Mus musculus: one gene and its partner. The protein of the gene in region 2 interacts with the protein of the main gene of each other region in a biochemical or structural test. Links are inferred from orthologs where the notes say so. Each region holds a gene or a part of one and is shown on either strand. Other genes may lie near its edges.

The links.
Region 1: of the proteins of Rangap1 (region 2) and Uspl1, one has a biochemical effect on the other in vitro, tested with the Homo sapiens proteins (2 studies listed by BioGRID). The link is inferred for Mus musculus from reciprocal best matches to the Homo sapiens genes RANGAP1 and USPL1.

Annotation. Positions count from the first base shown.
Region 1 is NC_000071.6:149,201,523-149,205,170, reverse strand, and holds part of Uspl1 (SUMO-specific isopeptidase USPL1), read right to left. Parts: intron 3,412-3,648; coding exon 3,282-3,411; intron 903-3,281; coding exon 777-902; intron 1-776. UniProt on the Homo sapiens protein: SUMO-specific isopeptidase involved in protein desumoylation. Specifically binds SUMO proteins with a higher affinity for SUMO2 and SUMO3 which it cleaves more efficiently. Also able to process full-length SUMO proteins to their mature forms.
Region 2 is NC_000081.6:81,723,274-81,726,921, reverse strand, and holds part of Rangap1 (ran GTPase-activating protein 1), read left to right. Parts: intron 1-639; exon of another isoform or gene 640-739; coding exon of another isoform or gene 740-848; intron 849-2,289; coding exon of another isoform or gene 2,290-2,324; coding exon 2,325-2,436; intron 2,437-3,648. UniProt on the Homo sapiens protein: GTPase activator for RAN. Converts cytoplasmic GTP-bound RAN to GDP-bound RAN, which is essential for RAN-mediated nuclear import and export. Mediates dissociation of cargo from nuclear export complexes containing XPO1, RAN and RANBP2 after nuclear export.

The DNA of each region.
Region 1 (3,648 bases), on a different chromosome or scaffold from region 2:
CCTTCTATTACTACGTACACTATCTGACCAGAGGGAAACGACAAGGGCAGATCTACTCTGAGTTCTATTTACATTCAGAGTGCAAGGACATGCAAGCACCTGAGCAGATAGGGCCAGGTACACACACTTAGCAGCACCAGTCCTACAGCAGACAGACAGACAGCTGACCCAGCAGACAGACAGACAGCTGACCCAGCGCTTGCCAAGGAGTCAGCGGAATGGCAACTCTGAGCCTACCCTAGGCCAGCAGCAGGAAGTTTAGAATGAAGCCAGCAGCAGGGAGCTTGTAAGACGATGAAGTATCAGCAAGCTGATTGACATCCGGAAGAAAACAGACATTAAGACACACAGGTGGGGCTGGAGAGATGGCTGAGCAGTAAGGAGCACTTAGTGTTCTTGCTGAGGACCTGGGTTCGGTTCCCAGCACCCACACAGCAGCTCACACCTGTCTGTAACTCCAGTTCCAGGCTTCTAACACCCTCACACAGACATACATGCAGGTAAAACACAAATGCACATAAAAGTACACCCAATGGGAGAGGGAACAGGATGAGAGAAACACTACAAGAGACAAACTAAGCACCCTCCTGAAGCCTACTGTGTCCTGCTTGCCCACCCTCAGTTTTTACAGTGGTAAGCAACTGGTGGCCCTAAGTAAGTGTCCACTCCAACTTCTGAAGGGTAAGTGGTGCTCACTACTTCCCTTCCCACGACACGAGGAACTGTACATGCATCTTCACTGTCTCCTAAAAATGTTTAAGTAAATGGAAACTCACCTTTCCAACACCATTTTTCTTATTTGTGATTTACTGTTGCAGCTGTTACATGGACCAAAATGGGCAGCATTGAGTGGATGCCACTCAGGAACAATATTGGTAAAGGTGACCAGACTCTTCACACACCTAAAAAACAGGCACAGTTTGAATCCCTCAGCTAGCTTCGCTGGAGTTAGTTAACACGTGCAACTGCATGCTCTTGCTTGCCTCCCAGCCCCGCCCATATCAGCACAGCCATGCCCTCCCCTGCCACGGAAGAGACACTGGAGCCTCCACACCAACTGACATGCACAGAAGGGTGACCAGCAGAGCTTCCCTCCACTAATGCTCCAGAGAATCACTGCTGATGCCCTGCTGAGCACACTGGTTATTTCAGGGCCACCCCTGGTCTCCACTTAGCACATTGTAGAATCAGTCCCCAGCTTCCATACCCAATGTACTGGCAGCTACCTAGTGAGGAGCCATCAGAGGCTCTGGGTGAACATTGTTACTCTCAGGCTGTCTGACTCAGGCTGAGTTGTGATGCAAAGTGGCTTAGCATCACTGACAACAAAGAGAGTACTGTCTTCAAACAGATACAAACTTAAACTTTTCATCTGCTGGGGGGCTGGGGGTGGGGGCAATCACTTGGAAAACGGCGACAGTTAAAAGCCATCTTCAACCGTCAGCCAAGTATACTAAATCTTAGTTGCATCAACTCTAGTAAAAACATTTTCATTAAAGCAAGTATCACATTACACTCCCCCGACAAACAACTCTCCCGTGTCAAGTGCCATGGCCTTCATACAACAACGAGTGGCAGATAAACTGGGTCTGAATCAGGACCACCAGCCTCCAAAGGCCAGGCTTTTTTATGCTCTCCAAAAATATAACTACGGAACCTAATACAAGTCCTTATACTGGCACAAAACCCAGAGGCACTAAAATGAAAGGACTAGTTGACTAGCTTCTGTCAGAGGAGAAGGAAGCCAGTTGTTGTAACCCCAACGTACACTGATTAAAGGCCATCCTGTCTTAGCTTTGACTCTGAAATTGCTTTTTTTTTTTTTAGAATGAAAGATTAAAGAATGTTTAAAGAAGTTTCAGGTTTTAAAGAAATAAAGACAAGATGCAAACCAAAGTGGCTGCCGGTTTCCCCTGGGTGCTTTCTGAGCTCTGTGCGAACACTGCTAGAGCCCACTTTCCTTCTTATGCACAGAGCTGCCGAAAGATCAGAGTGCTGAGTCACTGGCCTCGCCAGTGAGTTCATAACTACTTTCCTAAGCAGCCAGTCATCTGAATTGCCACAACAGAAATCACTCTCAGTGGCTAGGTGACTCCTGGCACACACAACCCACTCAATGAAAAGCTGTCAAACCACTAGCCTGTGAATTCTAGAAAAGCTGTAATTAAGCTGATTCTAACCATCAGCCCTGTTTATATTATTAAAAACACACGTAGTGATTAGGGAGTTTAGCACAGGGAATCACAGAGGCAAGAAACGACACTAGAGGTCTCCTGATCTCCTACTGACTCGTTACTATGAACAGAAAACCTGACCCCTTGTACAAATCAATGGAAATCTGGGAGCAGAATCCTCCTTGGCGTAGACAAGTATTTCAAGTCCTAGTGTGAGTCTCCTCTACAGCTCTCTCCCAGGCTCGGCTCTGCCTGCTGTCCAGATCCCACGGACTCGCTATGCACCGCTCGCTCGCTCCTCATCATTTACCTGCTGACTGTTGAGGCTTGCTGGTGGGTGAGCTGCACTGGGCAGCCTGATTCCTGCTAATACTGAGCAATGACCGGCGAGGCAGACAAGTACCCAGCCTCTCTGACCGCTCTCCTGAACACTATAAATGCCACCATACACTAAGAGCAAATCCATGATGGAGGCCTAAAGCAAACAAAAGCCTTGTCTCTAACAGAGGGCAAAACACTGCCAAGGACTTCAGAGCAGACGCCCTGCTAAGAACCTTCCAGAGAGTGAAGGGTGCTAATCTCATCTGTTCCTAACTTCCCAGTAAATAAATTAACAACTCCTTTTAGCTATTCTTCAAGCCATAGATTTTTTTTTTAAGTTAATTTAGACCAACAAGTTGACTCTAGCCTCTTGTGTCACAAACTGTCCCTTTAACCTCACTAGTGAGACATTCTCACAGCAGACATCGCAGTGATCCATGCCTCCATTGTCAGGACTCAGAGGGCTGAGCAAGAAAGTGGCACTCTGAGGTCAGCCCCAGCTACTGAGCTAGATAGACCCTCTTAGAAAAGGATCAAATGTGTGTTGGGGTCCAAGAAATGCTGATACATGATGCTTCCTGAGGCAGAAAACCTATAGTCTGGGCCAACCCGGGCTACACAGCCAAGTTCTCCCTGAGCTATTGCAACCTTGTCTCCATCCAAGGGGGTGGAGGGTAAACTGCTGTGGAAGTGTTGAGACACAGTGTAATGTATGTGCAAAACCTATTAAAGTACACTGTTGAAAACCATTATAGCACAAAGAATCCATTAGCAATCAACACTGACCTGTTTTGGTACTGGTGTCCACAATGGGAACATTCAAAATTCCAAGAAAAAGAATATGTAAAGAGGCTTTCAACATGGGGTTCAAGCTTTAACAGTACAGGAAGTGCAAACACAGGACTTTCCATGTCACCTGCAAAAGAGAAAAGAAAAGAAGAACGATTAACAGTCAGGACCTGCAAGAACAAAGGAAATCCATATGGTCCAGTCTCCCTCCACACATGTGTGAACACAGACTGGCAGAGTCAGCCAGTCAGGGTAGGCCTGGAGGAAGGTTGTGTCAACACACCAACATAAACTCAGTTCCCATGCTAGTCTCTTATTTCTGAAATGTTCTGAAAACATAAGGCAAGAATGGCAAGAATGCCAC
Region 2 (3,648 bases):
TCTTTACATACCGTTTGCTGGCATGATAGCACACACCTGTAAGCCCAGCACTGGGAAGGCAGAAGCTGAGGCCTCTCTGACTTTGAGGCCACCTTGATCTACAGACTGAATTCAAGCCAGCCAGAGATACACATTGAGACCCTGTATATGAATGAATGCATGAATGAAGTTGTTTGTTGGGGTTTAAGGTATAGTTAAATGTGAGAAGTCTGGGGTACCATCCCCAGTACATACCCACACATACACCTGTCCTTTACAATAAACCAGTAAATAACTTTACTTAAAAAAACAAAAAACCTGTTTTCCCTGAGTTCTGTGAGTTCTAGCAAATTAATTGACCCCATGGGGAGAGTCATGACAACCCTAGTTTCTAACCAGTAGATCAGAAGCACAGGTAAACACACTGGGGTTCGTGGATGTGGGGTAGCGTTGTAGACTGGGCTCTCAGTTCCTGGGATCCCAGTGTCCAAACTGAATTGGAGGCTCGAGCAGTGCCCTGCAGTAGTTAGTTGCTTGCTTGATGTGGTCGCTGTTAGAAGTGTGCCGTGAAACACATTGGAGAAGCTGGGATGTTTTCCACACACAGATCTATTGTGATGGCGGGCGGCTCTTGTGATGTAGGTACTTCTGGTCTCCTAGGAACCTCTGAGGGGCCACTGTGGCAAGTGCAGTCTCTGGCCAGGATTGAAACCGACATGCAGTGGCCTTAGCCTTGTGTGCCTCCCCTAGTCATGCCAGCATGGGCAGTGGGGTGTTCCTTGGGATGGATGACCTGGATCCCATAGCCATCTGTAGCCTGTTTGAGGAGTGGGACCCTCAGACAGAGCGCTGCCAAGATGATCCGCCAGGTGCGTGACTCTCGGGGCAGCCGTGCTTGGGGCTTGACTGCCCTGCACTGGGTGTCCCTGCTGGGGCAGTTTGGAGAGGGGCTTGCAGGACTTGAGCTCTCTGCCACCTTTCCAGACTGTTAGTTTTCTAATGACATATTTATTCATTTATTTCTCTTGGTGGGTTAGCTCTTGGGTTCTTCTCCATGGCAGGAAGGGGGCGAATCCACAGCCCTGACTAGAGAACTCAGGGGACACTCCACACACACTTTGAGGTTATCCTTGGGATATCAAAACCAGGGCCTTGGGGGCTGGTGAGATGGCTCAGTGGGTAAGAGCACCCGACTGCTCTTCCGAAGGTCCAGAGTTCAAATCCCGGCAACCACATGGTGGCTCACAACCATCCATAACGAAATCTGACTCCCTCTTCTGGAGTGTCTGAGGACAGCTACAATGTACTTACATATAATGAATAAATAAATCTTTACAAAACAAAACAAAACAAAACAAAAAAAACAAAAAAACAAACAAACAAAAAAAACCAGGGCCTTAAGTTTCAAGAAGAATCCTTTTTACAAAGTTTTGTTTTGTTTTGTTTTGTTTTCTTTGTTTGTTTTTTTGTTGTTGTTTTTGTTTATTTGAGACAGGGTTTCACTTTGCAGACTAGGCTGGACTTGAACTCACAGAAATCAACCTGCTTCTGCCTCCCATGTTCTGGGATGAAAGGCATAAAACACTATTTTTTAATAATTTTTAAAATTTTGTGTACATAGTATTTTGCCTACATGTTGGATACCCTGGAACAGGAATTACAAATAGTTGTGAGTGCCATGTGGTTGCTGGGAATTGAATGCCAGTGCTCTTAACTACTGAGCCATCTCTCCAGCTGAACCACTATTTTTTTTAAATGTGTTGAGTATGTTGCCTTGCATATAAGTCTGCACTGTTTGTCTACAGTGCCCACGGAGGCCCTAGCCAACATAAGGATGCTGAGAGTCAATCTCTAGCTCTCGTCAAGAGCAGCCTCTCAACCATTGAGCCTTCTTCCTAGCCCTGTAACTGTGTGCATGATGCATGTGTGAGCACTGGTTGTGTGTGTGTGTGAGCACTGGTGTGTGTGTGTATGCATATGAGTGCAGGTGCCCTGAGAGGTCAGCCGTGTCTCATCTGGAGCGGAAAGTAACAGGCATCTGTGGGTGATGGCAATCAAATATAGGTTCTTTTCAGTCTTCCTTCCCTTCTCTCCCAAGAATCTTTTTGTTTGGTTTTTGGTTCTGGCTTTTTGTTTTTTTCGAGACAGGGTTTCTCTGTGTAGCCCTGGCTGTCCTGGAACTCACTCTGTAGACCAGGCTGGCCTCGAACTCAGAAATCCGCCTGCCTCTGCCTCCCAAGTACTGGGACTAAAGGCGTGTGCCACCATACCTAGCCCAAGAATCTTTTTTTAATGCAGTTTCTTCTTCAGTTTACAGACCTGCAGGGGAGCCCGCCACTGCAGCCATGGCCTCTGAAGACATTGCCAAACTGGCAGAGACCCTGGCTAAAACTCAGGTAGCCGGAGGGCAGCTGAGTTTTAAGGGCAAGGGTCTCAAACTAAATACTGCAGAAGATGGTAAGTTCCTGGGCAGGTTGGGGGGGTGGGGGTGGCGCACGCGCGTGTGCGTGTGCGTGTGTGTGTGTGTGCTGCACATGCTTGCTAGCCCTCAGGCTTTCTAAGCTACCTCATCTTTATCATTTGTCCTGGCAGTCCATTTTAACAGGTAGTGGATTTCTGAGTTCGAGGCCAGCCTGGTCTACAGAGTGAGTTCCAGGACAGCCAGGGGAACCAGTCTGGAAAAACTCAAAAAAAAAAAAACAAAAAACAGTGTCCTGGTCTATGACTACTGGGGGAAGGGGATTATTTTTCTTTTGACAGGGTTTCATTAATGTATACCTCAGGCTAGCCTTATACCCATCCATGTAGCTCAGCCCCTGGCTTCAGGGCTGGGCTCTTCTCACCCCTTCCCATCCCAGGGCATCTGTCTTCCTTGTGGCAGAGGCCCTGAGGGAACTGCAGTAAAACAACAGTGCCCTCGTGGGAAGTTTCAGTTCCTGCAGCCAGGCATCCCTGGGAGATGGACTCAGGTTCCTGTCTCCCCATTCGTGGCCAAGGCTTAGCTAGCTCAGAGAACACTGAATCGATTGCTGCTTCCTAGAAATAAAGGTGTCTGTCTGCCATCAGACCTTGCGAGGCCTCGTGGGGTTCTGGCCCAACCAGAGAAACTGGTTTGGACTTGCCAGATTATCTCATGCACCTGTAAATTACTCCCCTCCCAAAGGGAACCTTTGAGCCTTAGGATGGTGCAGATGTCTGTCCCTAACAGCTTCGCGGTACTTTGAAATGGACAGATTTCTCACTGGACACTCGGCCCCTCAACTTCACCGGCTGGCTCGGTTTGGTCCGGTTCCTTACTTGTGTTGTGCTAAGATTAAAGGCACACACCACTATACCTGGGTTTGTTTTGTTGTTTTGATTTCGAGGCAGGGTTTCCTTGTGCAGCCTTGGCTCTTTGGGGATTTACTCTGTTGACCAGGCTGGCCTCAAACTGGCTACAAGGCAGAGAATGGCCTTGAACTCTTAATCCTCCTGCCTCTACAACCCTCAAGTGCTGGGTTTGTATTATCATCTCTGTGGGAAGTGGGTAGAAACACTGCTGTTCTATGAGACTAACTCATTCAAGGTCACAGCTTTTACAAACTGCAAGGTCCAGCTCAATTTCCTGTTCCTGTGCTTCTGAATAGACACTGAGCTTAATTTAATAAATACAGATTGCTAAAGGCAGGT